Struthio camelus: one gene and its partner. The protein of the gene in region 1 binds, or shares a complex with, the protein of each later gene. Links are inferred from orthologs where the notes say so. Each region holds a gene or a part of one and is shown in the gene's direction. Other genes may lie near its edges.

Region 1 (15,330 bases):
AGACAGGTAAATTAAGTAAGTTTCTCCTGAAGGAGGTAAACATTTTCCTGAAATGAAGGTTAGAAAAACTTATGAGCCCTAGCACTCCCACAAGTAATACTTGATCACTCCTCTGTACTAAGTGCGAAGAGGTCTGCAGAAGAGCGCGCCACTGAATAGAGCATGCTGTTTATAGCAGCGTTCCATTTTTCCTCTTGTCAAGAAGAAAAATCCTGATTCCATTTTGTCCTAGGCTCCTGTGGCAGGGGGAGGAAATCAAAGCTGACTATAGCATATTTGAAGGTCCAAAAATGATAATGGAATGCTTTATTAAACACTTACTTCAGCGACAAAAATTCCTTCCTATAATAGAGCAGGAAAGCTTCGGAGCAGTTTGTCTGTGTGGGCACCTTCCAGTGACAAACCAGTTCTTCAGCATAGTCAGTGAAGCATGCAAACTCCTGTACATGTCCTGTAGCCATAACTAGGGAGAAGCAGCACACAGTAAGAAACAAGAGGATCAAAAGAATAAATTAAGACTAAGCAGGAACATAAAATCTTTTCCTCTAAACAGAATGATTAACCCCTTGTAAGGGAAGTGAAAGCACAGCCATTTCTCATGTTCTGGGTAAACGGAAAGAGGTGTGTGACAGCAAACGTCTCCAGAAAGGTGAAGACCACCTCTGTGCTCTTGAAGAAGGTCTGCAGTAGAAATATTGTAATAGAAAAGCACAACTCATCTAATACAGACAGACTTCTAAGCACAGAAAATCTGATTTTGATGAGCTCTACCTAAAATACACCAACTTTTAATTATAAAACAGCATCATCCCATGTGTTAAATACACACAGTTCAAAAAACAAAATGCAGACGATGAACAGAGCGAGACCAAGATCTCTGTGCTTTATCTACTCTGGTTCCAAGCCTCCTGTGTGAATGGCCCTCTGTCTCCCTCAAGCAGTTCCCTGTTGCATACAGGATCTCCCTGTCACAGATTTTTGTCTAGTATATGCTTTTCTTAATTTCATTCAGTATTTCCCGTTATGCTTTGTATTTTTCTTTCTTGTGATAACATTCAGAGTTCTGATCAGATTCAGAGTCACCTTGTCCTGGGCATTGAGAGGGCATGGAAAAGCCCTAAATCCTTGTACTCCAATGTTATTAGCATTTGCTATCTCTTTTACAGGTAGTGTTTAAGAACAACTAAGAAAACATTGGTCAAAACAGCTTTGACAGAACTGGAAAGAGAAATGGAAAACCCAACCCTCAGTATCCCTTCCAACCCCATTTTCCCATTGTTTTAATATGCACTGCATAGTGGAACAAGGAGCAGAAGCAGTTATGTGACATTAAGATCGTGCTGCTATTAGGATTAACAGTGTGCCAAACCTGTGGTACTGAAATGTGATCATTTCTAAATAAAGCTGTCAGAAATAATACTTTTATCTTGCTGGATAGTTCTTTCCCTTCTTCAGCGTTTGACCTTTCAGATATTTGTAAATATTTACAGTATCTCCCTTTTCTTGCAGCTCTAATTATTTCTCTCCTGCTCTACATCTCAGTTCCCCACAAAAATTTATAATAGCTTTGGTTGGTTGTTAGCATCCTATTTATTGATATTTTTCTGAATGTGAGTGTCCTAAGAGATTCTGCTAGAAGTATTCCTCCTGCAGTTATATAAGGGCCATATAAAGACATGCTTTCATTTCTGTATAGTAAGCAAATAATTCAGTTCACACAGCCCAGCACATCACTAACTTCATTCTTGTCATTTATATTGCAAATTCAAGACTAATTTGCCACTGATTCACATCCTTTAGCCACTGGGGCTTTGCAGTCGTCTTCATCCCAATGAGCGTCCATATTTCAGATTATTCCTCCCATGCAAGAATTTTTATTGTCAAAAATACCATGTTTCACTATTCCTACTATTCTTTTTCTGTGGTCCCTTTGTATCTTTTTTTTTCCTAAAATAACTTCTGCATACTTTGATATCTGCATCTGTAGATAAACATGCTGGTCATAATGACGTGTTAAATACAATTGGATCTACCACCAGGCCTAGTGTAACTTCATTAGAAAACTGATCCAAAGAGTTTATTGTTTAATACTGTCTCTTTGGTACTACCACCTATCACTTTCACTTCTCTTTTTAAAAGGCCTCCCACAAAACTCGATTACCAAGCAACCCTGGATCACTTGAGTAATCTCAATAAACTTAGTGGGGCTCATTTACGCCAATGAAAATGTAGCGCAATTTCAAGGAATCATTTTAAAGTTCTGTAAGAATCATAATCTAATTTTTCCGGTATATTGGCTGGCTATAAACCTAGAAGTACCTGTAGCTCACAGTTTCATTATTGTTCACATATGTAAACAGTGTCTTGTTCTATTTTAGCTGCTAAGGATAGATATTGATCTTGTAGGTAAAAACAAGCACTCTTAATTACTTCCTGAATGACAGCACCACATTTAGTTCCCTTTTGTCCTGCACTCCTGTGATCCTTCAAAAAAACAACAAAAAAAGAAAAACCATCAGAAGAACAGCAAGTTTAATCTTTAACTTCTGCAATACTCTAATAGCCACACGGCTCATTTATTTTAAAAGAACTGTTATCTATTTATCTTGTTACTGTTGTTTATTTTTGTGTTGCTATTTATATTTTTACCGTTCATTTTTATTATTTTTCCACTTGAAGATGGACTTTTAAAAGAACTACTTTAAAGCCCTTTAAAGATGGACTTTACTATTTTTCCGTGTGTTAATGATCTTACACTTTCAACACCCCTTGAATTATAATGAAGCTCTTCCTGGTGTGCTAAGCTATAAGGACTTGCAGTTTTATCTTGCCTTTTAGTGTCCTCATGTCTTTCCTGCATTGTAAATTATTCTCTGTATTCTTTTCCTGTGACCTTTTCCCTTTTCCATCTCTGGTATGACATTTTTGTAAACCTCAGATATTTGAAAATTTCCTTTTGAAACCACATGCAGTACAAAGTTTGTTTTCAGTTCATGTACTTGAAAAAGGGAACTGAAATACTGGACTTCTTTTTTCATCCTCAGCAAGAATAACGTGATGAAGAAACTTAAAAAATTGAAACCAGGAAAAAGAAATCTGTGAAATTATAAACCTTGATAATTTATAGAAAATCTAGGACCACCTAGATCAAATGACCCAGACAATGTGCACTTACAAAGCTTGATCACTCTAATTCAAATTGCAAAATTCCCTCCAGCATCATCAGCAGCATGTCTGAACTCATAGTACATAAGGAAGTAGCTAATAACCTTTTTTTTTTTTTTTTAAAGGGATAAGTTATTCTTGTTTTGTTTTTTACTGTTTTGGTATGCTTTTCTTAAAAAGAGAAAAGAAAAAGCAGACTATTGTGTAGCTACTTAAAAACTATGAAAAGGAAATATAAACTGATTTCCCAGAGAATAAAGGCATGTTCCTGGAAGATAAGATTTTATAAATCTAACTTCTTATTATAATGAAATATCAGAAAAGATATCAGGAAAATTTTTTTTCATATTCAGCTCCTGCCAAGTGAACTTCAGAAAATAACCATTAAATGACTAGCAGCGCTAAGGCTTAATGCGAATATACATCTTGCTAGACCAAAAGATGTGATGCCCTGCGTGCTCTTCACTACACGTCAGTCATCTGTCCCTGTATAATAGCACCAGTAACAATATGCAACGCCTTACAGTGAGTGCTTGCAAAACTTGTTCAAATCCAGTCAACTAAGTTTTCTAACTTAGTAACTCTACGCACTTTGGAGAACGCACGCTGACAGCTGCCTTTTGACTGTAGGTCTATACGTTCACCCTCCGGTTTATGAGCACAGCTCCCTCAATGTCTATTGCTGATGGCTCCTTTTTGGCCCACACCATGGATAGTGGCAGTTATGAAAATAAGCAAATGCGAGACTAGTGGGCTTTCCACCCTCACGGGATGTTTACAGAGATGCTCCTGGGTCATTGCAGAGAATCCTGTTTGCAGCAAGATGTCCAATATAGATTAGATAATGCGGAAGCAGACAGATGACTTTCCAAACCTCTGTTTCTGCTTCTTGCAAATTCCTATTTCTTAGTGCTAATACAGAAAAGGTCAGTAAAAAGAAAAGATTTGAGAATTTATTGTAATACATGAATATCTCTGATACATGTAGTTACGCATTTTATTCTAGTCAATTAATGGTAGTAATAATATCATCTACTAGTTATTCCTGCTCATGGTAAGGTACTGTCGACAACTACAGTGTAACAATTGAAAACATTGACAAACGTACTTTCATTTGTTGCATATGAAAAGAAAAGGATCCACAGGGTACGCAGTGCAGCACGTGAGATTCTTGCCATCACTGTGCTAGATGTCAGGATTAAGATCCTCTGCGGTGCCTGATCCTCCTAAAGATTGTTCATGGAACAACGAGAACTGTAGGAGAATAAGGGTGATACAAATGAGTTAGAAGACTTCTGTAAAAATTTAGTTACAGAGGATATTAGATTGACACCTGCTGTGCACCTACCCTTTTCAGGTACTAACACAAGAGATGCTGTTTGTACCCAAGATATTAAAAGAGTAAGCACTGGACCAAAACAATTCATTAACAGTCAATATGCCATCAGAGCCATATGATTCCACTCAGATAAATGAAGTAATTTAAGCACGAAGTGCCTGAGCTGTTGACTGTAATATAATTTCACAGTCTTATCACCGTTACCCTAGATACTGAGAACTACCAACCTCTTTAAAAAGTTTTGAGTAAAGACCCTTGCACAGAATGCCAACAGAATGCACATTTATTAAAACAATAACTCAAGTAGAAGTTGTAAAACATATACATAGCCATGATATGAGACCATCCAGCACAACTTCAGAAAAGGAAAATTATGCAGCTTTTATATATTACAATTCTTGAAGCATAGCGAAGTTCATGAACGAACTTCACTATGAAGTTCATGAAATAATCCCTTTAAGAACTCCGAACAGCATTTTTGCTCCAAGATTTTACAAGAAGACACAAAGTAGCTATTTGGTAGAAGATCTTATTCTGGATTAGATGTGGCTACCAGCTTGCACATCGCTAGAAATGCATATGGTGTGAGTATTTGATAACTAGGTAAATTTGTATGTATAGTCATGCTCACTAATATGGGGTGACCGTGACTTTGCATTCAGCATAAACAGGGATAAATCTTGTTCAAAAACACATCATCTGTTGACACAGAACCCTTTTTTCCCCTTCCTCTTATGCTCTTGGTATTTTCTAAACTCCGAGTCTGGACGCAGTGTTCTCACACTTACTACCTGCATGCTGCAGCTGCTCTGCTTACATCTGCAGAGCTCCCAGGTGGCATGGTATTTGCGATTCCAGAACTTCCCGATTCCCTTTGTGTGACTGAGTAAAGAGGAGAGAAACTCTCAGAAGATCTCTTCTAGTAGGAGACAAGCTTTTGGCTTTCTGCAGAAGTTCTGTTAGATTTTGAGGTAGAAGAAACCAAAAAAACATATTCGTTGCTGGTGGCTGAGTACCCTCTGCTACTAACCTAACTACAAAAGTAGAACAACCCTTGACACTTCTACCAGATTTGAGAATGGCCAGACTAAAGGAATTGGCTGAGGGATCAGTAATTTTGTTGTGGTATAAACTCCTTAAGCGATTAGCTTCGGAAGAATTTAATGCCGTTTTGGAAATATGCATGTGGGCACTGTATACACATAAGAGCATGTAGCCACAGATGCATGCTACTGAAGCCATATTCCTTCAAATACCACCTCTCAAAAACTGGCAAGACTCTCAAGAACAGCTGCTGAATATTTGCTGTCAATTAACATAAACACAGTGTGGACAACAGTCGGAATCTTTCCCAGCTGAGTAAGCCACAGACAGAAAAATTACTTTTTTTTTTTTTTTTAAATAAAGAAGCCCATGCCTTTTATTGATTAATTTATCTACATGAATTAAAACAAAACGTAGCAATAGAATCTTAATTTCTACAATACATTTAACAGAACTAGCACTTCTTTTATAGTGTATCTTTACTTCAGCATAAGTCAGACTCTGCTCCAAACCTCGTTATCCAAATTGCCACTTATTTCTTCTATTCTCACACACATGATTGACCGTTCTTTAAAATAAGCTTCTAAAGATTAAACATGGAAAATTTCAACCTTAGAAGCTAAGAAATAATAAACAATTATTTTAGAAATAAGAAAATTGTGAGTGCAAATAGATTAGAAAGGAAACTGTTTTGGGACCTTACAGGAAGCAGTTACTGCTCATCAAAAGGCATACTTTAACAATGAATTTCTCATAAACACTCAGGAAAACTATTACTCAAAAGCTGAGTTTTTCACTTTTGGAACAGACAAAATGTGATTGAGCACACTAATAAAATTTTTGAAAAGAACACAAATGCCTTTTTGCAGCTTAGGGAAAAAGAAAAAAAAAGGAGCAAAGTGCTCCAGCAAACAAAATCTTTCTCCTCCTCTTTTTTACTGGCATTCTCAAGAGAGGAAATGCTTGCTTTTCAAGTCCATTGCTGAGAAATAGTGTCTCATGACTGCAGTTCCAAGAAATTCTGAAAACTTTTGCCAAATAAACCTATATCACAAAAGCATGTATGAATCAGCAGACTACAGAGCAAAAATCTATCTCCCGTATGAAAAAAGTAGTTTGGGACAGTTGGATGAAAGTGGATTTAATCCACAGCTCTAATGAAAAGCAAACTTTTTTTTTTTTTTTTAAAATAAGAGTAGTGGATTATAAAACCAATACCAAGGGTTAGGGAGAAAATTTAAAAATGACAATAGCTTTCCCACCTGTAGGGTCTTAAGTTTTTCTTAATATTGAATAATGAAATATTAAACTTTTAAACTTAAAGTACATAAGTATATAAATGTTATATAAACATGCTTAATACAGTGTATAAGTATATATATTAAACTTAATAAAGTATATAAGATATACAGAATATTAAGTTCTCAGTAACCTGGTAATCCCAAGAATTATTAATGTAACACTGCATGTTTGAAAAAAAAAATAAAGCACCGAAAGCCTACGTGACTTTCCCAAATCTATGAAAGCAATCCATCAAGTAGCTCTATGTGATTACTGGCCCAAGTCATATGCTTAAATCACCTGATTATTCCTATCTTTTAAAAAAAATAAAGATGTAATTGAACAGATTTCATTTAATCTTGAGGAAAAAAAATATTTTCTAGCCTAGACTTTTAAATAAATTTGGGTCACAGTTAATCTACAGATATAATCTGCAAAACTGTTATGCTCAAAGGGTAACTCATGCACAAAAGACAAATGATGGTTACTTTTACCTAAAATTCCTTAATCTACCTTTGCTGAAATTGTGCAGTTAGAGGACCACTTACCGTTTCAAAACTGGGATTTTAATTTTAAAGAACAACTTGTCTTATTCTTCTGGATTTAAAAAATCTGCTATAACTGCAGACTAAAATCAGATAAGCAGTACAAAACAAAGCATGATTGCATTATTAGTCAACTGATTTTATATCAACATTTGAAAAGAAAAAAGCTAGGAGATAATTTTTCTCCTGTATTATCACTACTATTTTTATTGATTTTTTTCCTAAGTGCCAACACAAAATGGTAGACCTACAGGAATATATCTCATAAAACCTACTCTGATATGCAATATGACTGTCAGAGGCAACCACACAAGGTATACCTACTGTAAGAAGCGTGGGTGTCTTAGAATAAGCCCAATTAAGTTTTCAGAAGAAATTGGACACTAAGGAGAGAGTCTTGTACGGTGCATAAAGGAGGAAGTTTTGATGAAGGCGAAGCTAGAAGATACTTTGGAGTTTTGGTAAGGAAGGATGGCAACACTGGTGAACAAAGGGCCAAATGATTAAATTTAACAGGTCCCACTTGGCATTATCTAAACTAAACAGAAAACTATTCCCTTATGCTCCTTTTTCATGCTTCTTTACCATCTGATTAATATGGCACTGTGTTAGCGCTGTCTCTACTTGCCTTGACTGCTGGGTTGGAAAGGGTGGAGTAGCAGAAAATCAGACCCAGAATCAGGCCCTTAGATTAGGGACTCTTTAGAGGGGAGGCTTTGTCCTGTTTTTTATCTCATAGGGTCCTGTTTTTTATCTCAACGTACACATATTACTACATGGCTACGGAAAGAATTTCATTTCAAAATGACAAATTTTAAAGGAACAAGAGATCTTTTATTTTATAAGTGAATAACTGCACTAATATTTTAATGCCATCCTCATTGCATAAAGTCCTCCATCTAGTTTGGGGTGCTTACTGTTAATGACATTTTACACTCCCTATCCAGTGCAAGTTCAGAGGCATACAAACGAGATCTGCATTTCCAGCACAGTGCACATCTGGATAAAGCCTGCCTTGTAAGCGAGAGAACAGCCTCTCAAAATGCATGGATGAGTTCTCCCTAGACAGCTTGAAACTTGTCAGTTTGCATTTATGACTTAAGCTGGAGTGTCTGTATTTGAATATATTCCCTGTTGAGATGATGGAAGAAAGCAAAAGGCATAATGACGTGCTGTTTGGGCCTATAATGAATACAGTACTTTCACAGAGTTTGCCAAACTGCAAAATCATGGCCTGCCAGCAGCCAGATAACTTCAGAGATTTTCTAACTTAGACCCAATAGAACCTACAGAAACTGCTGAATTTGAACATCTCGAAAAAAGGCCGGTCCGCAAAGGGCCTGGACTACAGCGACTGGAACAGCCGCCCAGAGCCAGAGGTTCAGAAACGCAAGCTCCGTCTGTCACAAAGCGACCTCCGCCCGGCACGGCGCGCGCTGGGAGAAGTTTTTAAGGGAGGAGGCCGGGGCTCGGAGCGTGACCCCACCGGCGGGGGGCGGCAGCCTCGGCGCTCCCGCGCGCTCGCGCCTCCCGCCCCCGGCGAGCGGGGCCGCAGCGGGAAGAGAAGGAGAAGCGCTTCGGTTCCCACACCGGCGAACGGGCCCCCGCCGCCCCGGCCCGGCCCCCCCGCCACCGCCCCGGCCCGGCCCGGCCCGGCCCCCCCGCCACCGCCGCCACCGCCGCCCCCCGCCCGGCCCGGCCCCGGCCCCCCCGCCGCCGCCACCACCACCGCCACCACCGCCACCACCGCCGCCGCCGCCGCCGCCGCCCCCCGCCCGGCCCGACCCACGCGACGCGGCCGCTGAAACTCACTCGTCCCAGGCGGCTCCCGCCGCGGGCAGCCCGGCGCGGCGACAGCGTCCTGCCGCGGGCCGGGGCGCGCAGGCGGCCGGGGCGCGCGGAGCCGTGCGCGGCCGGCGGCGGCCGAGGCGGCTCAAGCCGGTCCCACCGGACGCTGACGCGACCCCCGACGCCCTCTGGCCGCGCTGGCGATTGCGGCCGCCGCCCGGATCCGGCCCCGCCCCCGCCCCAGCGCGGCGCTCGGGGGGCGGGGCCTCTGCGCCAGGGGGCGGGGCGGGCAGTCCTGGGCGGTGGCCGAGTCGGTCGATGGCAGGCGGCTGCCGCGATCACCGAATCGTCGAGTGCGGGAGGGTCGCGGCGCCGCAGGCCCGCGGGGTGAGGTGGGGGCGGCGGTATGGCCGTGGGGCGGCGGGGCCGGGGCCGGGGCGGCGATGTGGCCGTGGGGGCGGCGGGGAGCCGTTGGGGGGGGGCGGCGGGGGCGGCGGCGCGGGCGGTGTGGCGTGGGGGCGGGGCGGGGGCGGTTTTTGCGAAGTTTTTTCGCGGGGGGAAGCACCAGGCCTCCGTGCGCGAGGTCCCCGGGCTCCCCCCGGCCTCCCCCGAGCTCCCCTCGGCTCCCCCCCGCCGAGCTCCCCTCGGCTCCCCCCCCCCCGAGCTCCCCCCGGCCCCCCCCCGGCCCCCCCCGGCCCCCCCCGGCCCCCCCCCGAGCTCCCCCCGGCTCCCCCTAGTTCCCCCCCAACTCCCTCTCCCTAGTTCCCCCTCCGGCTCCCCCCCCCCCGGCTCCCCCTCCCTAGTTCCCCCCCCCCGGCTCCCCCTCCCTAGTTCCCCCCCCCCGGCTCCCCCTCCCTAGTTCCCCCCCCCCGGCTCCCCCTCCCTAGTTCCCCCCCCCCGGCTCCCCCTCCCTAGTTCCCCCCCCCCCGGCTCCCCCTCCCTAGTTCCCCCCCCCGGCTCCCCCTCCCTAGTTCCCCCCCCCCGGCTCCCCCTCCCTAGTTCCCCCCCCCCGGCTCCCCCTCCCTAGTTCCCCCCCCCCCCGGCTCCCCCTCCCTAGTTCCCCCCCCCCGGCTCCCCCTCCCTAGTTCCCCCCCCCCCCGGCTCCCCCTCCCTAGTTCCCCCCCCCCCGGCTCCCCCTCCCTAGTTCCCCCCCCCCGGCTCCCCCTCCCTAGTCCCCCCCCCGGCTCCCCCTCCCTAGTTCCCCCCCCCACTCCCCTGAGCTCCCCCCGGCTCCCCCAGCTCTCCAGCGTGTTGCTGCCGCGGAGGCTGCAGCGCTCCTGGCTCCGAGCGGGGACTGTTGGTAGGTGTGTGAGTTTTGTCTTTGAAAGAAAGTTGCCAGTGAATTAAGTAAAACTTATGATGTTTTCCTTCTAGCTGCTTCCCAGGGTATTTTAACTAACATCAAGCCTGCGTTGGTACCTCCTGCATAACAGTAATCTCCAGAGCTTGGGAAGCCCCTGGGTATTTACATCTAGAAAGGTGGGAGCGCTGAAGAGCAGCGTGTCACACTCTGATCCTCCAAGCACCTTCCCCGACTCTTTGTAGTCCTTGTTAGAAACAGAAATCTGCCTCCAGCGCGCAGTGAAAGCGTGAGATTTCAAAATCTTGGCACAAAACTGTGTTTCTCCATTTGGTCCTTTAGTTGGTCCTTTGATTTGGAGGACTGTGGAAGCTTCTTACATCTTTTGGGATTATTTGGCTGGAGTGGTCAAAGAATTTCTTGAAATGCTTTTATTTAGTTCTGACGTTCTTCACAACATATAGGGGAGGATTTTCTGTCCAAAGTAAGTTACGCTGTAATTATTAGACAAGTTATTTGGGTATGTACTAAACAGAAGTATTTAACACAAAACTGTGGAAGATGTTCTGTTGACTGTAATAGATGTAACAGTATTATTTTGTTTTGGGGGGGTATGATGGCACAATGTCTACGTTATTTTATTCTGTAACTGAAAGCGTTAGGTCAAATCAGTTAGAGTTTGTCTTTTGCATTCTTCTCATAGAGCCTTGCAGCTAGTCAATGTCTGTCTTTGGAGATCAAGCTGGGGGATCTTCTGGTCTTTACCCTGATTCAATTTTTTAGCTCACTGATTTGTTCTTTTTTTTTTTTTTTAAATTAGAAATTGAAAATCTTATATAGATTTGGAGTTTATATTTTTAACTTGCATGAACATGTGTATTAATTCTAGTTTACCCTCTTTTCAGCATTTGAAGCCTGGTGGAATATTGCAATGGCAGTTCAGATGACTGATGGTCATCGACGGTTCTTGCAGGTCCTGATGTCTCATGGGATAATGGAAGGATCAGAGGCTAGGAAGTTACACAGGCATTGCTGCGAAATCCATAAAGGTTTGTCTCTCTTTCCGAGAAAAAGTGTTGAGACTAAGATGGGAGAACACTTTTTTCTGATGCAGTTTACAAATCGTTAGATTTTTTTTAAAAGCATACACCATCAAAAAAATGTTAAACATTTTAATGACGTGTGTGTCCTCTCTCCTTTCTTTCCTAAAAGAAAAAAATAAAACAACCTAAAGGAAGAAGTTTTAGTCCATTCAGATCCATACAGCGCAAACTCTCATTTTCTATTTTAGCAGAGACTTTTTTTTTTGGTTACATATTATAATTTTAGTCATTCTTGCCAAGGATAGCGTTTAAGTCTCCGGAATGTTTTCCTTTATACTTCTGTGGAAGAATTTCCTTTGGATTATACTATGAAGTATATGCTGTTATACAATGCATCCATCTGGAGTAAATCTGTCACCTGACTAATTACATGTTCAGTTAGATGGTCCTGATATAACAAGCTGAATTTTATGGCACTTAGAACTGAAAATGGATTGTATACTTTCAAATCTGTTTGAAGTTCCTGATTGAACAAAAATACTACAGAAATGTGTAATCAACTCGGTTATGATTTTTTCGGAGAGATATACTTACTATATGTAGGTATATATCTTCACTAATTTTGAAAATGTGGTGGCACAAACTGAAATAAACCTGAAATGAGTAATGCATTTAGCGCTAATTAATCAGTAGGTTTTAGCTGTAAATTACATAGTGTGACAAAATAAAAAATTAAATCTCAATTGCTGTTTCCCAGAAAACAGTGAAAAGAATAAAATTCCCATATTTTCATCTTTTCCATATTTATGAACAAAATTAAAGAGGACAAGGAACGTGTAAAAAGAAATTGCCATTTGAAGGGAAATGTCCAAATGCTGTTCAAAGTAGTAATTTTAACAAATTACTGTTGAAAGCTGGATAACTCCAGAAAATATGTTGCTTAAATTCCACATTGTAAGAAGTGATGTGCACTGGCTGTATGTCTCAAGTTATTCTCTAGTATTTAAGATTTAAAAATCTTAACAGTTATATTTGAGGGTTTTGGTTAGTTCACCCTGTTTATGTGAGTTTGTTGAGAGCTGAACCAATAATTGCAGGGGAACTGAACTATTCCGTTTGTTAGTGAAGCGGTCAGCAGTGATGATAACTTCAGCGTTGCTGTTGCCAACTGTTCTTTTCCCCTGTTAAGAGAGTAGAGACTGTAGTCACTGATACAATCACTTGTGAACTCAAGACTTCAGAGTCCTTTTTGGAAGACCCTACTACCTACATATTTTCCTTAGTTAAAATGCGTCAAGCAGATTCCACAGGTTTATTCAAACTGCTGAGGCAGAAGAACTTATTTCAGCACCTGTGCAAATTCCTGACTGAAAAATGGAAATTCCTGACTAGAAAAATGATATGACAAATTCCTGACCAGAAAAATACTGTTGCTCTTCACTAGTTTACTCCTGTATTTGTGCAAACCAAGTCACAGCTTCTTGTAAAAATAAATGTTTGGTAAATACATTTGGTAAATGGCCTAAACCAACAGCTTGGCTATAACCAGTTTGTTATGTGTTTCCTAAAAAGAGTCTTAAGAGAAAAACTGTACAGCTAGATCCTGTAGTATGTAGGATCAGTGAGCTATAAGAATGCAGGATGCAGTAAGAGCCGATAAAGTAACATTCATAGAAAGGATTATTTATTAGGAAGAGTTTTTTAAAAATAGCTCCCTTGCAACTGCTGCCTACCAGTACTTCCTATTTCGTCAGTGTGGCGACAGCATAACGGAAAAATTTGTGAAACTATTCAGATACAGTGTGGGAGTTTTTAAGTGTCACAATTTTATTAAATGATCTACCTAGGAAGGCTGTGTGTCATGTTGGGGGACAAAGGGATGTTGAACTTGACTCATTGAATGGAACTTTTTTTTTTTTAATGCATCTTTACACTTCTTAGGAATAAAAAAAATGAGTTGACAGACCATCCTTATTAGGGCAAAGTCACCATGATCTTGTCAGTTATGATATTGTTAGTAATGTTTTTATGAGGAAACTCAGCCTGTTTGTACTGTTTCTAGAAATTCTGTTTTTGATGTAGTTTCTTCAAATACATCTTAATAACGCTCTGTGCAATCTGAATAACACGTTTCTAGTCGCACCAAAGCTAATGTACCTAAAACAGCATAGCTGAATTAATTCCTTTCCCCTGCAGATTGTAAGTGTTGTATAACAAGGCTGTTATCTATTTGTGATGATGGTTTCCTTGAATATAAAAGAATAAAAAAGCTTTGTCTAATGAAGTCAAGTCATAAAGTAACCCGTCTGTGTAGCCTCTGAGCAAAGCGATCTGACCGTTTTCCCTCCTGGTATTTAGCACGTTCTCTTGTCCTGTTTTATTTCAAAATCACAAGACTTTTGGCCAGGAGACACCGTCCTATCGTTTGTGCATCACATGTATGCTTGCTGTTAGCAGTACCTATACTAAAATCTGCACAGATCTCTGAAGGAAAAACTCCAAACATCTATCAAAATGCTGCATAGGACCACTAGAAAATGTGCAATTGAGTTAGGATACAAATTGCAAGATTGTTCAGGAAGAGTGTTATTATATTTACTGGAATCTGTTAAATGCACGTTTTTTTCCGTCTGCAGTGTGTTACGGCTTCTCCAGTTATGAAACGCGTTACAGTAAAATTTTAAGTGCAAAGCTAGAGACATTTCACAGTATTCCAATGTTACATATAGCTGAGGTACCATGATGTTCTCAGCATCGTTTTTGTGGGTGGCTTTATGTGTTGTCTTTGTGTGTGATTGCTGAGCACCTTTTCCTTGCCTTTGCAGTCATCTGTGCTGGATGTTGGATCCTTTCACAGGACGTTCTCTGTGGGAAGGGAATGTGTGAAAAATGAATATGATCCTGTCCCCAGCCTCCAAGAGGAAAATGTAGTAGAAAAAGGAGAGTTTGCAGTTATTTTTCCTGCTGTCTTCCAAGCCAGCTGTAGTTCTTTAATAACTGGAGCTATGGGTTTGCACCTCTAAATAGTACAACTGGAAAAATTGTGCCTCTCCTTTGGAAAACACATTTTTCTCTGTAATAGCACTGCTTTTTCCGCAGCTTATGGAGTAAATACTGAGAGTCATGTGCTTTCCTCTTTATCTGGGGAATCTCTTGACAGATTCTCCAGCTGATCTATTTTTTCTTTGATTCAGCACATTTTCATTTGACAAGTATTTAAACAAATTGAAACACAGGAAATTGCATCTGAGCATAAGAAAACACTTCTTCACTGCGAGGGGGGTTGAACACTGGAATGGGTTGCCTGGAGAGGTTGTGGAGCCTCCATCCACGGAGATACTCAAAACATGTCTGGGCACGGTCCTGGGCAACGTGCTCTAGCTGCCCCTTCCTTATCAGGCGTTTTGGACCCAGATGATCTCCAGAGGTCCCTTCCAACCCCAACTATTCTGTGATTCTGCGAAATATAACAATATTACTTATTTTGGTGGGCCAGCATTTTACTTTCCAAAGGTGTTGGCATTCACAAGCATTTTCTTTGCCACAGTCTTTAAGGCCAGAAGGGTAACAGAATACAAAAGTCTTTTCTTCGGGTATATTTTTGATGAATCTACAGATAATTTGGAGGGACAAATTCAGGTTGCATTTCAAACCACTGGCATTGAACACCAATATTATAACATTCACTATAAAATGTAACTCTTGTACTGAGTCACATTAAAGTTTGCTAGAGCAATGACTCATGTATTGCACTTGTGAAGAGATGTTTAAACAAATGAATTGGAGAAAACTGCTTTTTTTCCTTCCTGTTTGGAGTTAGAGAAG
Region 2 (15,394 bases), on another chromosome or scaffold:
CCTGAAGCTGGGGGAGGTGGGGAATCCCTTGTAACAGCACAGTCCGTGGACCGACTGCCTATGTAGCAGCTGTGCAGAAAAGGACCTAACAGTCCCAGTGGACAAGCTGAACGTGAGTCAGAAACGCAGCCTTACAACAAGGAAGGCTAATCACGCACTAGGCTGTGTTAGCAAGACTGCGGCCAGCAGATCGAGGGAAGTGATTATTCCCATCTAGTCAGCCCTCATGAGGTCCTTTTAAGAGTACTGTGTCCAAATTTGGGTTCCTCAGTACAAGATGCGGACAAACTGGAATGAAGCAAACAGAAGGCCACCAAGACAGTTAGGAGACATACTGCATTAAGAGAGTCTGACAGAGCTGCCTTTGTTTAGGCAAAGAAGACTAAAGGGATCTAACTGCAGTCTTCCACTACCTAAAGGGCAGTTAGGGAAAAGCAGAGCCAAACTCTTCTCAGAGGTGCACAGCAAAAGGACAAGGGACAACGATCACAAGCTGCAACGAGTGAAATTCTGGCTGGATAGAAGGTTAAAAAAAAAATCATCACGAGAGTGATTAAGCACAGGCACAAGTGCCCAAAGAAGCTGTAGAATCTCCATTTTGGGTATTTTCAAAACTCACATATTTTCAAAGCTTGACTGGACAAGGCCCTAAGCAACCTGACTGAACTTTAAAATTGGCCCTGCTTTGAACAGAAGGCTGAACACATCCACACATAGCTTCCAACCTACGTTTTCCTATGGTTCACTTCATCAGGATGGTATCAGAATACAGTTGATTTAAGCATTTAAAAGGAAAATCGATATTTGCAAAGGGTAGTTCTCCATGCTGATCCAGGAGCTTTGACTCAGTTTACTTCACTCCGAACAAAGTGTAATTTCCCCAGAAGACAATCTATTCTACCTTTAGAACACTACAGCAAGCTTTGTCGAAAACAAGATAAATTGTTTCTATAGCATTAAATCCAGGGTGCAGTTTAAAAATAGAATTAACACTTACCCAATTATCTGGAAAGTATTTATCCACTATCTCTCTCATTTTTGCTTGCTGAGTGTGAAGAATGGAAGGGTCAAAATACAGTATCACATAGAGCATAGCAGCCTGAGTAGCCAGGGCAGTGCTGCGGTGTTCTGGTAATGGATATGCAGAAACCTAGGAAAAAGGAACAAAACAAGACATAAAATAATGCAACAATCCATTGCAAATATTATGGGGCACATTAAAAAGTACAATACATGGATACTAGAAGGCTATCTTATTTGTCACATATAAGTGTGTCCAGCTTACCTATGCAACACATTTACCACATTTATCTACAGAATATAAAACTTGACTGTAGCCATCTGCTAAATTTAATAGGCTAATATGATTATGCGGTAAATGAGTCAAAGGAAGGTTGAATCAAAGAGCTTCAGATAGACTGAAAGGACTGCTCCTGCTGAAAGGACAAATAGATATTTCTGAAGGACTGGGTATATTGTAGCTCATCTCAAACAGAAATGAGGACTAACTAACATAATCCAAGTAAAAGGCAAATAGGATACAGATCATTTAGTTAATCACAAATCACAGGCACCAGCAAGGTCAATAAGATTAAAATTATTAGGGGAAATTTCATTTTTAAAAACGTACATCGGATAACATAGTCAGGGACCTTCATATAACACAAAAGTTGGCATCAAAATCATATTCAACGAGACATAATGATCTGTCAGTAGGAAAGCTGTTCTCCACTTTTGTTTAGTAACACTCTGTTTTCCTGTAAATTTTTCTGGTTACTTTATTAAGTGAATTGTTCAGACTAATAATAATAAAAAAAAAAAAAAAAGATAGGAGGCTGCTGCCTACTGTCATCAAGAATAAGCTGCAAGTATCAAAGGAAATAACACCTTACAGACATAAGATACTTCAGTAAAATAAGCTGCATTTAATCTGTGTTTAGCTGAAGATTTCTACTTCGATCTAACTTTTTCTGCTACAATTGGGAAAAGTATATTAACTATAATTGTGCTTCGTATAGAAGCTTTGATTGACGTTTTTAATTATCAATTGTAAGCAGTACAAAACAGAGATCACAGGTTGTACTATCTTAATCTGAAGGCACACAAGCTTATTTTAATAAAGAAAACAGGTAATTTTGACTAAAAGTGTTGAAAGACTTGAGTAAGATTTGTAGATTAAGAAGTACTTTAAAAGAGCACTCTAACACTTCGCTATTCCTTATCAGTACCATACATTATGTCATAAAATTAGCTTCTTCACAACTTGCCAAAAAAGTTTTCATTTTTTGTTTGCAGAACTTTTTGCACAGCTTAAAAAATTATTACCATAAACATGGTACAGTGTCTACAGAAGCACTTTTCCTCGTATAAGTTAACATGTCTGTCTATAGTTTGAAAGTGTTTTCGATAGGGTCCTTTTAAATTAATGCTCTTGCATTTGTTTATTTCTTACGTGATTCACTGATCTTGAGATGCTGTTTTTTTAGCGTCTGTAAATGTTTTCAGCTATCCAGGCTTCACTAGAGGTGTGCCATTAATTATAGAAATAAGATCGTTTGGGCCACCCTAAAGAAAGAACCCTGCTCAAAAGTAAATGCTTTGTTGAAGCTCATTTCCAAAGAGGTCATATAGAAGAGACTATAGAGTTCAAAGAGTAATCTCTGAACATACTTTCTTTCAATTTTTATTCTTTATTCATCCAATTGTCATAGATAAGAATAGTAATATTAGTGCTTCTTTTTAGTCACATTGCCTCTTAAGGGATGATCAATCTCTTTTCAGTAACTAGAACAATGAGAATCTTTGAAGGAATTGATGAGAGTTAATAAAAGTCGCCAATCATTTATTTTTTTCTAGGCTTCACAGTTGAGTAATTTACCCAAGAAACCATTTGATACTCAATTTTAGATTCCTCTTCTGTCTCACGCTAACTTACCTGGTTATAAATGTCATCTGATCGTAAGCGGCCAATAACCATGCTGATGAACGTTTCACTTATGGGTACCCTGCTGAAGTAACTCTCAGGGTAGTTTGGAGGCCTTTTAGCTCCAGGCTGGCTCGAGTACCCAGTGCTTCGAAGCAGTTTACAAATATCATCTAAATTGGAATCAGCAGAGGATCGGGCTGCGCTGTTTTCAAAAAGGAAAAAAAAATTAAGCTGTACGACCTGACTATTTCCTCCTCTCCTTTTCCTCCTAACCCTGCCTTTGTCTCCAAGAAAGTAATCAGATAGTAAGGTTTGGGAGACTTTTGTATGCTTACTTCCTGAACATAATTTTCACCATATTACAGAAGGACACTGACAAGTGCCCATACTGGAATCCCGGATAAGCGTACAAAACACAAACAAACAAATCCAAGAAAACGTTGTTCAGGGACAGAAACGACTACAGTTGCATTCAGAAGAGGTTCATTTGTCCATGCCCCACCTTTTCTGAATTCCCCTTCTTGCTCCATTCCTGTATTTCAGAGTTAAGGAATCCTTTGTCATTACACACTTGACAGCCATAAGCACAGCCAAAACACGTACAGGGTGCTCCCTTTTTTAGTTGCATTATTTGTGAAAGAGTTTGCACCGATATTCTCGGCGATTCTAGCTGTGATAAAGCAGTGCTGACAGCCTGCCCTGGAAATCTCGTTATCAGTTTGACTAATCAAGCTCTCTGACTACAAGAGGTTTGACTGTCTAGATGCTCGGGACTTTTCAGAGATTTGCTCCAACATTTGGGAATATCTGATGCTTTCAAAGCAGATACTTGTAGCTTCATGCGAAAGTTTATTTGTCAGTGGCTTTCAAATCTCTGTTGTGACAGCATGAGAAATCTGTGGCCCAAGTTTTGCAGCCAGATGTGCAAAAGCAGCTAATGCAAGGAGCTCTACTGACATTCAGACAATGATGCAGATTTATAAGGGTCTATCCGTATGGACCAAACGGTCAAAACGGTACCAATATTTCTGTTTATCTTAATTCAATGAGTTAACTGAACATACTGCATGTTACACTCTTTCAGCTTTTGAGTTCTTCTGAATACCAATCCACATTACCTGTATCTGTAGTAGGAAACCAACATTCTTTCTCTGACCTCTCCTTCAATCTTCTGGTCAATGACCAATAGCATGACTCCATATAAATAGAGTGCTTCACACTGTTAAGGAAAAAAACAATCAGAAAGAAATCAAATTAATGCAGTTTTGTAGCAACATCTGAAGACAAACAAGTGGTGACAAACTAACACAATGCAAACTATGTATATAGTCAATATAGTATGAAAAAATGGCAGGGCTGTAGACTTTGGGGCTTTGACTGCCTCAGATTGAGCCATAGCATTTCAATGTATGTGGTAAGTTTAAACCTTTGTCCATTCTTGAGACTAGATGTAAACAAAATAGACGCCAAAATATATCTGGAATTAAACTCGTTGGTTCATTTTCTACTATTACAAAACTCTTGAGTACTTACCAGAAGCTGTTTTCCATCTTCATTGAGGAGGACAGTTTCTAATGTTTGCTGAATGTAAATTCCTTCATTGAGGTCATCTAAATACCTAGGAATCATACCAAAAAATTGGTCATTGACTATTTTGCTCTTAAAGCATGCGTCCCCAGAAATCAACTGGCCAATTTTCACGCAAAGTCAGCAGACACGTCAATCACTCGTCCAGCGCAAGCAGCACACACAGGTTTTACACACAACAAAGAACAGATACTCTAATATGAAATGAGAGGCTGGAACTCGTAGCTAGGGTCAACCAGCTGGCAAATCCTCCTTCAATTTGCTAATGCTGTATGGGAAAGATACCGAAGGAACTCTGTAACTTAACAGCTAACAAATCAATCTCTTAACCTTCGCATGGCAGGACACAGCCTGAGAACAAAGTAGTCCTGGAAAGGAAAAGCTTTTTTTTCCTCCTTAAAATTTAGTAAAACTATCATATTCTCAGATTATCTCCAACAACAGCTACGGGAAATACCTTAAATTTATCTTAATTGCAGTTTGAAAGGCAGAGCTATAAATAAAATATTTCATCTTGATTAACAGATGATTTCTTCTTATTACAGGGTTTTCTAGTAAACTGCTTATTACCACAATGAGCTCAAGCTTTTTACCTAAAATCAACAACAAAAGCAATTCTTAGACTTCACACTCTCTTGCACCTCTTCCTTAAGGTTTTTTCATAAACCTTTCCTACCGTTTTGACAAGAGTAACAAACTTGAGACTATGGTAACTCCACTGAAAAATTAAATTTAGGAAAACAATACCAATGAAAGTTAAAGAAAAAATACTATCTGATTCTGTTCAATAATACGGAGTTTCTTTTCATTCATAAATCTTCAGGACAATCTCTCAGATAAAGAAGAATTAGCTCTAGCTTACGTTTATGGAAATAAAGTAGAGATGTTAAATGTTTTCAGGTCGTAGATTAAGCTGGTATGCAACAACAAGAGTAAAAGTTAGTGCCCAGTCCAGCAAGCCAGGTTTCCCAGTGCATACGAACACGATTCAAGGGCAAGCACTGAGTCTCCAAGGAAAAAGTTTCCAATCATTAAGATTAAACAGTACTGTAGTCTTTAAGAAACTCTAAATATCATTAAAAAACTATACCTGTTTAAATCTACAATGTATTTATGAACACTCTGAAAAGCTAGATAAAATCTTGTCAAAATTTCAATGTTGTTTTCACGAAATTCTTCATCTAAATCCAGTAACTCAGGCTTGGCTTCCAGCTTGCCTTCACACGCCTCAGGCCCCTAAGAAAGAAAATTCATATTTAAGAGACAATATTTGATTGTGTCTGTGACAGTCTTCAGTAGGACAAAGAATATACATGACCACTAGCATGTATGTAATGACAGAATTAACTGTTATTACTAAAATAAGGCACCTGCAGTTTTCCAAGCTACTTCATGATTAAACGGTGATCCCATAATGATGAATTCTACATTTTGCTACAATCTATGATTATCAATACGATAACACTTTGGGTAAAATTCTGACGCATCTGAAACCACCATGTGCTTTACCACGGACTCTTTTTAATGGCAGCTATCTCCTTTCTGGAACTTTTTCCTTTACACATTTGATCTGTTTGATTTCTCAAACAGAATCCAGAACATGAAGGCCTCACAGATAAGTTGTCAGCTTTGTACCTTCTCATACATTTAAACTCCTTGCAAGTATTAAACCTACGTGAGAGTTTTGACAAATTCTAGACCTAGGTCTGTGCTAGTCCCCAAAACTGGCACAGAAACCGTGTAATTAACAACTGTGTGGGAACAAGGGGAGAGGAAGACGAGCCTGACTTTCTGAAAGAAATGGTTCAAACTGTTTTAACCATTTGCTGCTGTCAACTCACCACCTTTCAGTCCTATCACTAACAGTTAACTGAAACTGTTATTAAACATCATTCCACAGAACACTTACATGGCATGAGATCACGACTTAAAAGGATTTTGTGAACAGGAACTCCATAAAAATCACTTAAAATAGGCTTAAAAATTAAATGTCAAGTCTAACACCTGGCTGACAACTTCTTAGTGGTTTTAAAAATGCTCTTCTATTTCTTTTTTTCTATGAAATGGCCACGTGAAACAAAGCATAAAAGCAGGCCCCAAACTGACTATGAAGCTTAAATGCACAAAGTAAATGGACTGATTTTCAAAATCTCAAATCTCATCACCTGATTTTAAGCATCATGATTGCAGGAATGGAGTGCTCATGGTGTTAATATCTGTAAATTCATGAAAGCCTGGTTTACAAGCATGTCTTTTATTGATTTTGTTGCAATTAGGCTGAAAAGCAACAGCAGTATCTTGCTTCTTAAACATTCAGGAATCTTCCAGAATAAATGTATTTCTGGCCAGTTACAACTTGACAATGTAAGAGCAAAGAGGTATTTGTATAAAAAAGGCTTGTAAAAAAATCTACATCTAAAGGTAATTGGGAGATCACCTGTGCTCAGGATTTTCCGAGCCCAAAGTACTCAGAATTTGCAATGCAAAAAAGATCCACAAAAAAACTCCAGCCCCCTTAAATGTTGCTGAAACAGTAACGTCTCTTTTATTGTACAATCTAAATGGAGAAAGTCAAATTACATCATCTGTAGAGTTCCTTGCAAATCATGCTAGAGAATGACAGAGGGGAAAAAAGTACTGCAAGAATCTTAGTTCTGTAAGAAAAATGAGACCTTTTCACGGACGCTACTCTTTAATTTATCTGTTGATTCAGTGCTCATGGACAAGCACCATGAATGAACAATCACAGTACTGTCAAACAGGAAAGCATAAAGCCGTTTGTATGGCTGCAAAGAAAAGGCTACAGATAACCAAAGGAAGACAGGCATACTGTGCCACAGAAAAACAACCAAGTGCTTAGGCTCAGAGCTTGCTGGTGAAAATGCAATTTTAAGTTTACTCAGGAAACAGTAATTAAAACCCCCCCAAATCCAATACTCAAATGTCATATAATCAGTCTTCTTTGAAACTCAAGGCCAGATGACTCATCAAACATTTTCAAAGCTGTATCAGGGACTGCTTTTGTATGTATGTATTTAAAGCTGTCCCATTTCCTGCCCTAAAGCTCAGTGCAGGTAGTGGTTGTACTTCTATTCTGCTTAGGGAGCTAAGCACACAATCTTCACTAGTCTGCTTCTGCTCAGTGAAATAAATAAGGTCAGGCTGAGTACCATCAGAAGCGTATAAACACAAGACAGCCCAGAAGAGGAGTGCTAGTATGCGAGCACATCCCATTTAGTATCTTAGTTTGGTGCATTTTTGGTAAATACTGAGTAAACAGGAAATTATCTTAGTCAATTCCGATGAACGTTAGCAACTAACATAACAGTAACTGTTTCCACACTTGTGAGGACATTAACACCCTTAGGCTTTCGCCCTTAGTGAAACACCCTTAGGCTCACCCGGACAACGATACTTTGAAGAGAAGTTTCACAATAAAAGAAAAGGATTTACCTTAAAATAACTGAAATCGAATATGATATCCCCATACTTCTGTTGATCAGCCTTGTCCTTGAGCCTGAAAACACCAGGAATAAATTCAGAAAGTCTCAGAAGTTCTGCAATGATGGCATTTCCACAGGAGACAATCCTAAGAATGGCCTGACCACAAAGATTATTTTCAGCTAAAAAATCAACCATTGTGGAGCTGAATGTGACCGCGTAGCAACAGTCCTGCAGTCTGCTCCCGAATGTTAGTCTTCAGGTTATTTGAAGAAGAACGTCTAATGAGAAAAGTTGCTGTTCCATTAATAGTACCTGTAAAAACAAAAACATACACATTTTGAGTGTTTCATAGTTATACTTCTGATAATTTATTCTATAGGGTTTTTTAAGCACACGATTAAATCTTACGCTTTATGAAATCTAAACGCTCCATGTTTTGTCCAAATGAAAACAACAGACTGAATTTACCTTCAACATATATGCAGTTTTGGCTCAGTCACCTGTGTGATCAGGCAAGAAATAATAGTGTGATCTTTTGTACTAGAAAATTTTAAGGTAACTATTAAAGAATGAAACAATCACAAAAACTGAAGCAATTGAGGCCATGCAGCAGACGGCAGCAAGGAAAGCACAAACTAGTACGGTACAAGACGCATGTTGGAACAAGGGAGAATCCAATAGCAAATGGAAAGAACATAGCTCCACTGCTTTATTTATTGCTTAAGGGAGAGCTTTTGTACTGTGGTTGCATTTCCTGGCCACATTTTTATTTATGGGCATTTTTTGCTGAAAGATCTGGAATGCAGCATGGCTAAAAATAAGCTGCTTTTTAATTCTGAAACATTTATGGGAGGTTATGAGCTGACTTCACTTTTTTTTTTTTTATCAAAAACCTTCTAAACCACTGAGTTACATTTAAGTTGACGAGGCATTTTCCGATCCCAGTCTGTCTCAAAATGCACACCAGGAGCCTCGTCTTCCTGCTACGCATGGAGGAAAGCATCGCTAGCACAACAAGCTCTGCTCTGCAAAGTCCCGCGCAGCTCCCAGACCCAAGTGAACAGGACCGGGCTTTAATTTACATCTCATCCCCCTCCAGTAACCTGATTCATCAGGCCACAGCGTGATTTCTTGACCGAATGGGACGTTAAAAATATGGGAGAGCCTGCAGACAGCTCCTGAAGTTGCACAAAAGCCATTTCCAGCGCGGGCGAGCCTCACCGAGGAGGACAGGCCGCCGTTTTAACTCCCTTTTCGACAGGCTCCTCCGAGACGCCAACGGCCCCCCTCAATGTCTGAACCTCCCCCCCCCCCCCACCCCCGCCCTGGAGCAACGGCCGCGCCGCGAGACCAACGGCCGCCCGCGCCCTAGGAACGGCCGCGCCGCGAGACCAGCGGCCGCCCGGCCCCGCTCAGCCCCGCCGCGGGCTAAGCTCTCGCCTCCCCGCTCCGGCGCCAGCCGCGACCTCCCCGGGATGCCGCCCCCGCTCGGCGGCGCTTACCGTCCCCGCGGCTAACGCGGTGAGCGGCGGCGAAGGGCGGACGGAGGAGGCTGCTCCGCTCCGCCGGCAACGGGCGAGCGGGCGGGGACGGCGGGCGAGGCGCAGCCCTCGGCGGAGCGGCCGCGGCAGGTGAGACGCAGGCAGCGGCGAGGAGGCGGCGGCGGCGGCGGCGGCGCCCAACCCTCCCATCACATGACAGCGCGCCGTCATGTGCCGAGGCGCCGGCTGATGAGGCGGTTCCGCCGGCGGCCTGTCCCGCCTGCCCGCGGCCGAGCGCGGCTGCCGCCGTAGAGGGTCGGCGCGGGGGCCGCCTCTGAGAGGAGCCCCTTGAGGGCCGCGGCGGCTGGGACTAGGTGAGCGGCTGCGGCTGCGGAGGGGCCCGCTTCGGCCGCCCCCCCCTTCCTCCTCCTCCTCCGGCAGGGCGCGGAGTGCGAGGGAGGGCCTGCGCGGCCCTGTTCTCCGGGCAGCCTCCTGCCCGGCGGGGTGGGCCCGGGGGCCGCTGCCCCGGCCCGTGCGCGGCTGGCACGGGGCGGCTCGGCGGGTGTTGGGGCTGCGAGGCGGGCGGCTGGCAGAGCGGGGCTCCCTGCCCCCAGGGCTCTTGTCCCCAGCTCTGCGGCGGCGAAGTAGCGTCTCCGTGGCACAGTGACCGTTGTAGGAGGTAGAGATCGATACTATTAATGAGCCCTGATCAGCTGTAGATCTTGCGTTTTGTCTCCTTTTCAAAGTTTGGAAGAATAGAGCAAAGGGAAGTTAGGTCGTTTGCTCGAATCTTAAAAATTGGTGGCAAAATTGAAACTTTAACCTTTTAGGGCTTCTGCTTTGCGGTCTTCTATTTTATTGTTGAAAGAAAAAACTGACCAGCCAGTCTCACTTGGCTCTCCTTTATGAATCTTGGTTTTGCTCATTGTATTTCCCAGAAGATGAAGGGTGGGGGTTGCAAGCTTAAGTGCTTCATTGATGCACCCAGTGAAGACCTTCATGGCAAAAGAGAGTGCCTTAAAGAAACTGCTCAAAACCCTGTTCCACTGAGGAAGTTGCCCTTTCCTCTAAAGGCAGCATGAACAGCTTCCAGCTGTAAGTTACACTTGAAGAATTAACTTTAAAAAAATTGAAAAGGAAGTCTGTGCTTGGGGTCATCAACTATTTCTATCAAGTTTAAGCTTTTGTTTAAAAAAAAAGAGTCTGTCTATGGGTACTTAAATTATCTGCCAAAACACAAATTGTGATGAAGCTACCAATGTGATGGTATGATTTAGTGTTGTACGTAACTTCAGTTCCTGTATACTCGGTGTTCCCCCATGTTTCAGAAGAAGGAAGAAGCCTTTTTAACTTTTCATTGTTATTTTTTTTTCAGATTCCTGTCTTTCACAGTGTGTGTGTTTGAAATTTCCAAAAGAACAGCAGACTTGCTCAATGAATGAGATTTACCAAGTTCAAGAAGTGAATTAGGTTCTCTCTGTTAATTTTGATACACTGAATGGGCCCAGAAGGATAAAAGCGCTAATATGCATTTACGTGACTTAACAGTGTATGAAGTTTGCATTACCGAGGTTCAGTATAAACACTCTTGGTGAAATGGCAAACAGCTGCTTTAAAAAAGTAGGTTAAAAAATTTAGTGTAACAGCCTAAAGCATTTGTTATTAAATTAAGCTTTAAGAGCATCCCTTTCCATTACTTTCAAGAAGTTCTCTAAGAAACTTTTTCCTTGTCTTCTGTTATCAGATCACCAGTCTCTTAAATGGTATTTTAGATAGCAATTGCTGTATTTTGGTGGGGAGATTAGGAGAAGAGATGAGCTGGAGCTATTGAAGATTGCAGCCTCCTTTATGACAAGATGCACCTTTAGCAGCGGGGAGAGAGAGAGAGAGAGAGAGAGAGGAAAGCTGCTCATATACATTTTAGAAGTTCAAGTTGTCATGAACTTGAACAGCTGTGTTGCTAAAAGGCTGTTGTAAGCTCGTGTCCTCAGAACAGTGTCATAAAAGATAGTCTTGAGTGGCCAAGCACATTTTTTAAAGAGAAAGAAGAAAAAAATAGGGAAAAAAAAACTGTAAGAGAGGAAAGAAGGTGGCAGGAGAAATTCCAGTCTCGTAATCTGCCTGACATTCATGTGGAAGATTGCAGTGCTGTGCAGATTAGGATGAGTGTAAGACATAGTTCTGGAATCCCAGGTAAAGTAGTAAATGTGAGACAGAGCCTCGGATATAAAGTTTTGTGCTTTCTATTTAGATACTATCCTGATTTCTGTTGGATTATAGCCTGTGAAAGGGAGTAATCCATAGAATGACTCATCTCCTTGTTACTCTGCATACTAGATGCATCTAACTTGGGATGTACCCCAATTTTGGTTTTGGATTTCATTTCTCCCCTCCCCAGTATAGTCTCAATATAGTCCCTGATAATACCAGTTATTGTTTACAAGGCCTAATGCAGTATTTCTATCTATTTAAGACTTTTGTTTTTTATAATCAATTGTTTGCCTAAAGCTGACCAGAATTTTTCTAACTTCCTGCAACTTGAAGTATAAAATTCAGCATTCAACATGTGTCTTTTACTAGCTACATGTTGTCTAGGCAAATTATAGCAGAGAACAAAAAAGGAAGAGCAGAAGATGGAACTTCTGAGAAGAGACCACCGACTGATGTGGAAAGTATGATTGATTCAAGTTATAGGGACAGTGTAAGCAATGCTACTTGAAGGTCATGTTAATGACAGAGGAAAAGGAGTTAGTCCTAGCAAGGATGTTGGTCTGTAGTGGAAAGGAAGTAAAGGTGGTAAAGAGCACAGACATGAGTCTTGTGTGATTTAGTGTTCTGTTCCAATAGAATATTGGTAATATAAACTAAATTTGTGACATCTTTGATGGAAATTCTTAACATTTGTAAGGTAGGCTTTTACTTAAGAAATAGTATTAGGTAACTTTCTGCTAAATACATTCTTAGAACAGTTACCATTTATTTGATTTTTTTTTTCTTCTTTTTCTGAGGGCTGGCTGTTTGTTGAAACAGGCTTGTAATTGGGTGAGGCTCAATTTGATGGAAGAAGTCATATTCTTACTAGCCTAATTGCAAATATATCTAGAAAACAGACAAGTTTTTGGGTACTCTTTCTTTGGAGCTGAAATAGAGCAGAAACTTTCAAGCTAACATAATCCTTGAGTATTTCGGTCTCACTGTGCTATAGCAATAGGAATGAGAAGATGAAAAACTGCAAGCTGCTGTTTGTGGTGTAGTTTTGATTAGTGTTGAATAGGAGGGGGGGTTGAAATCCTCTAGTGAATCACATTTCTACTCGTGCCACTGACTGAACTTTCTCTGACATTTTGGGAGCTGAGATTTCATCCCTGTTCTCTGATGTTTGAGGAGCCCTGTTACAGCTCTGTGTTTAGCTATCTGTACTTCTGTTTTCTCTTCCAAATGCGCTGTGTGTAAACTGCATTCAGAATGTTATATCTGTTATTTCTAGACTAATGGTTTCAAGATGCCAGGGGGTGCAACAATCTCATTCAACTGTGTGGATTCTTCTCTTTCATCTTTGAAAAACTGCCAGTCTTACATTAACACTGGAATGGATATTGCTACTCGTGTTGCCCTTGACCTTGTGGAAAGTCTCAGTAAGTAATTCCTTTGAGTATATTATCTTGCTTATATTGCTTCCTGAACTTTACAGATGGGTCCTAGGCCTACGTATTTTGACTTAGTTACAGTCAATATCTACTTCATCATAGAAACAGCAGCTCTTCTGGATAGTTCAGAGTGTTACCATTCCAATCACTTCACTGTCTTAAGTGATAAATTCAGTGAAAGTATAAACACCAAGTAACATTGTCCCGGCTTTTGTAACACTTTTAAAAGACTAATTGCATTCCAGTGTTTGTTATCTTACAGCCTTGTAGAAACTTTAACAGTGCTGAAACGGATGGACAAAGCCTTTTAAGCGGGTGAATAAAATGACTTTTCGTTCTAACACTGCTACTTTGTGTGTGTTTTATTTAATGTTTAGGGCAAGATACGTTAAAATAATACTATTGATTTTGAGTACAAAAATTGAGACATGTGCAAGAGATGTAATTTTTCTGAATAGTGTCTCTTTTCCTGCTGAAAATTAGGCTGATTTAGGGTGCTTCAGTTTGGACACTTGCAAACAGAAGTACTCTAAATCTGTAATCACTTCTGACAGTCTTGTCATTGCTGTTTTACAGCAACAGGTGCATTGCAGAATTGCTTTTCAAAGACAAGTATTTGGCCTCCTATTGCTACAACTCTTGGATCTACTGTAAAGTTTTCTCTAGGAAAAAATTAAACCTTCCAAGCTCCAAAGCCCTAAATGATAGTTTTAATTATGAGTGGAGACTGAGAGTCCTCTAAAACAACATAATTGCTGTCTTGCTCTCAACTAAGCCAAACTCTATATAAAATCAGAATGAAATTTTCTGTTTGTATACTCTCTCTCTCCGACCTTTTTATCCATATTACTGTCAGAGGTAATTGATGCCCCTTTTCAAAAGTGGTAGAGGAGACGGAAAGCTTATCTAAACAGTCAGCTGGGAATTTCCTTTGCAGTAAAACTGGTATAACCAGTTCTGTTTCCTCTCTGCATTTGAAGTTACCATCTGTCCTACTTTGCCGTAAGTGATACATGGAAATTTGCTGACTGTACTGAATTCCGGTAATCCCAAGACCTCAGAATGAGCCACAGAAGGTAGTTATTGGCAACAAAAGCTAAAAGCTGTGATTAATTTCACCTTTCAGCAGAAGTCAAATCAAGTCCCTGTTGCCATTCACATTTTGAAAGGCGGAAGGCAACTCAAACTCCTCTATGAAGGTTTGCGGCTGAAGGTGTGTGCCATATGCTTCTAGATAATTTTGTTATCTTCCTCACTTACCAACTTCTGGCATATTCATTTTAATTATAACCTCCAAATTATTTTGACTTTTCAGTAACCAAATGGGCCATATTTAGTGTCCTATCAAGAGAGGAGATCACTCTTGAAATTTCTATGGTCAGTGCTAATGGCTAAGTTATTTCATAGAACTGATTTTATTTTGGCATGAGAATCTTCCTTGTGGAATCATGACTGTAAACTATGAAGCACCACATCTTTTACATAGTGTTCCCTTGATCTACAGAAAAGGTATTCCAGGCTATTATTTGTTGCGTAAAGACGTTACAGTTCCTCTCAATTTGGTCTGGTATTACCTTGTTGACGCTTTATTTAAAGTAGTTCTCTTTCACACCACCTCTGTTTTTTTCCTTGCTGATGTAAATACATGTGTACATATAACAATTCTATCACTTTTGGGGGTTTCTTTTGTTTGTTTTTTGTTTTTCTAGCCAAATGAGCAAAGCTCCCTTACCTTTCATTTTAAGGTTTGGTTTTTCACTCCACTGACCGCTTAAATGTCATCTTCATATGTTCAACTTAGAATTCAAGTTGTTTTGTTCCATATAAATGCCATCGGGAAAGATACAGGGTTTCTGTGGCAAGATCTATTTTTGCTAAACACTATATTTTTGTTTTTTATAGTGTTTTAGAATCAGGATTGTTGAATCTGCCTGACTTGACTGTTTAATTCTTACCTCCAACTCATATGTGGCAGTTTCTGTATCTGTAGAATTATTACCCATCTATTCTACTTTGCCTTCCTGTTCCAATGCAAAGTATTCATTCAATTTTGAGCCAGCCTTAGGTTATATGCTGCTGCGTTCTTGTTGCTGTCCCATTTGCAGTTTTTTCTTCTTTCTTTCAAAAGATCATCTGGCTGCTGACAGGTTTTGTTGCCAGGCTTTGTAGTAGCAAAGAATTATATTGTGATTATAAAGTAATAACTTTCTTCACCAAGCACTCTTTCTGGGAAGGTATTTGTTTCCTTTGGACTTTCTTAGGTCTGGGGTTCATATATTTGACAACTCTGCTTTTTGGGAATAATACTG

What was found.
Region 2: non-structural maintenance of chromosomes element 1 homolog (region 1) and NSMCE2 share a complex: the UniProt entries of both Homo sapiens proteins name them as parts of the SMC5-SMC6 complex. The link is inferred for Struthio camelus from reciprocal best matches to the Homo sapiens genes NSMCE1 and NSMCE2.

The regions. Positions count from the first base shown.
Region 1 is NC_090956.1:385,118-400,447, forward strand, and holds the start of non-structural maintenance of chromosomes element 1 homolog, read left to right. Parts: upstream 1-9,409; 5' UTR 9,410-9,549; exon of another isoform or gene 9,550-9,554; intron 9,555-10,365; exon of another isoform or gene 10,366-10,466; intron 10,467-10,536; 5' UTR 10,537-10,641; exon of another isoform or gene 10,642-10,946; intron 10,947-11,367; 5' UTR 11,368-11,393; coding exon 11,394-11,511; intron 11,512-15,330. Other genes in the region: IL4R (interleukin-4 receptor subunit alpha), read right to left, coding at 322-463, 4,274-4,343. UniProt on the Homo sapiens protein: RING-type zinc finger-containing E3 ubiquitin ligase that assembles with melanoma antigen protein (MAGE) to catalyze the direct transfer of ubiquitin from E2 ubiquitin-conjugating enzyme to a specific substrate.
Region 2 is NC_090943.1:160,973,379-160,988,772, forward strand, and holds the start of NSMCE2 (E3 SUMO-protein ligase NSE2), read left to right. Parts: upstream 1-9,668; 5' UTR 9,669-9,812; intron 9,813-9,980; exon of another isoform or gene 9,981-10,117; intron 10,118-10,813; 5' UTR 10,814-10,989; coding exon 10,990-11,058; intron 11,059-12,925; coding exon 12,926-13,073; intron 13,074-15,394. Other genes in the region: WASHC5 (WASH complex subunit 5), read right to left, coding at 998-1,150, 2,936-3,128, 4,045-4,145, 4,460-4,544, 5,604-5,749, 7,967-8,152. UniProt on the Homo sapiens protein: E3 SUMO-protein ligase component of the SMC5-SMC6 complex, a complex involved in DNA double-strand break repair by homologous recombination. Is not be required for the stability of the complex.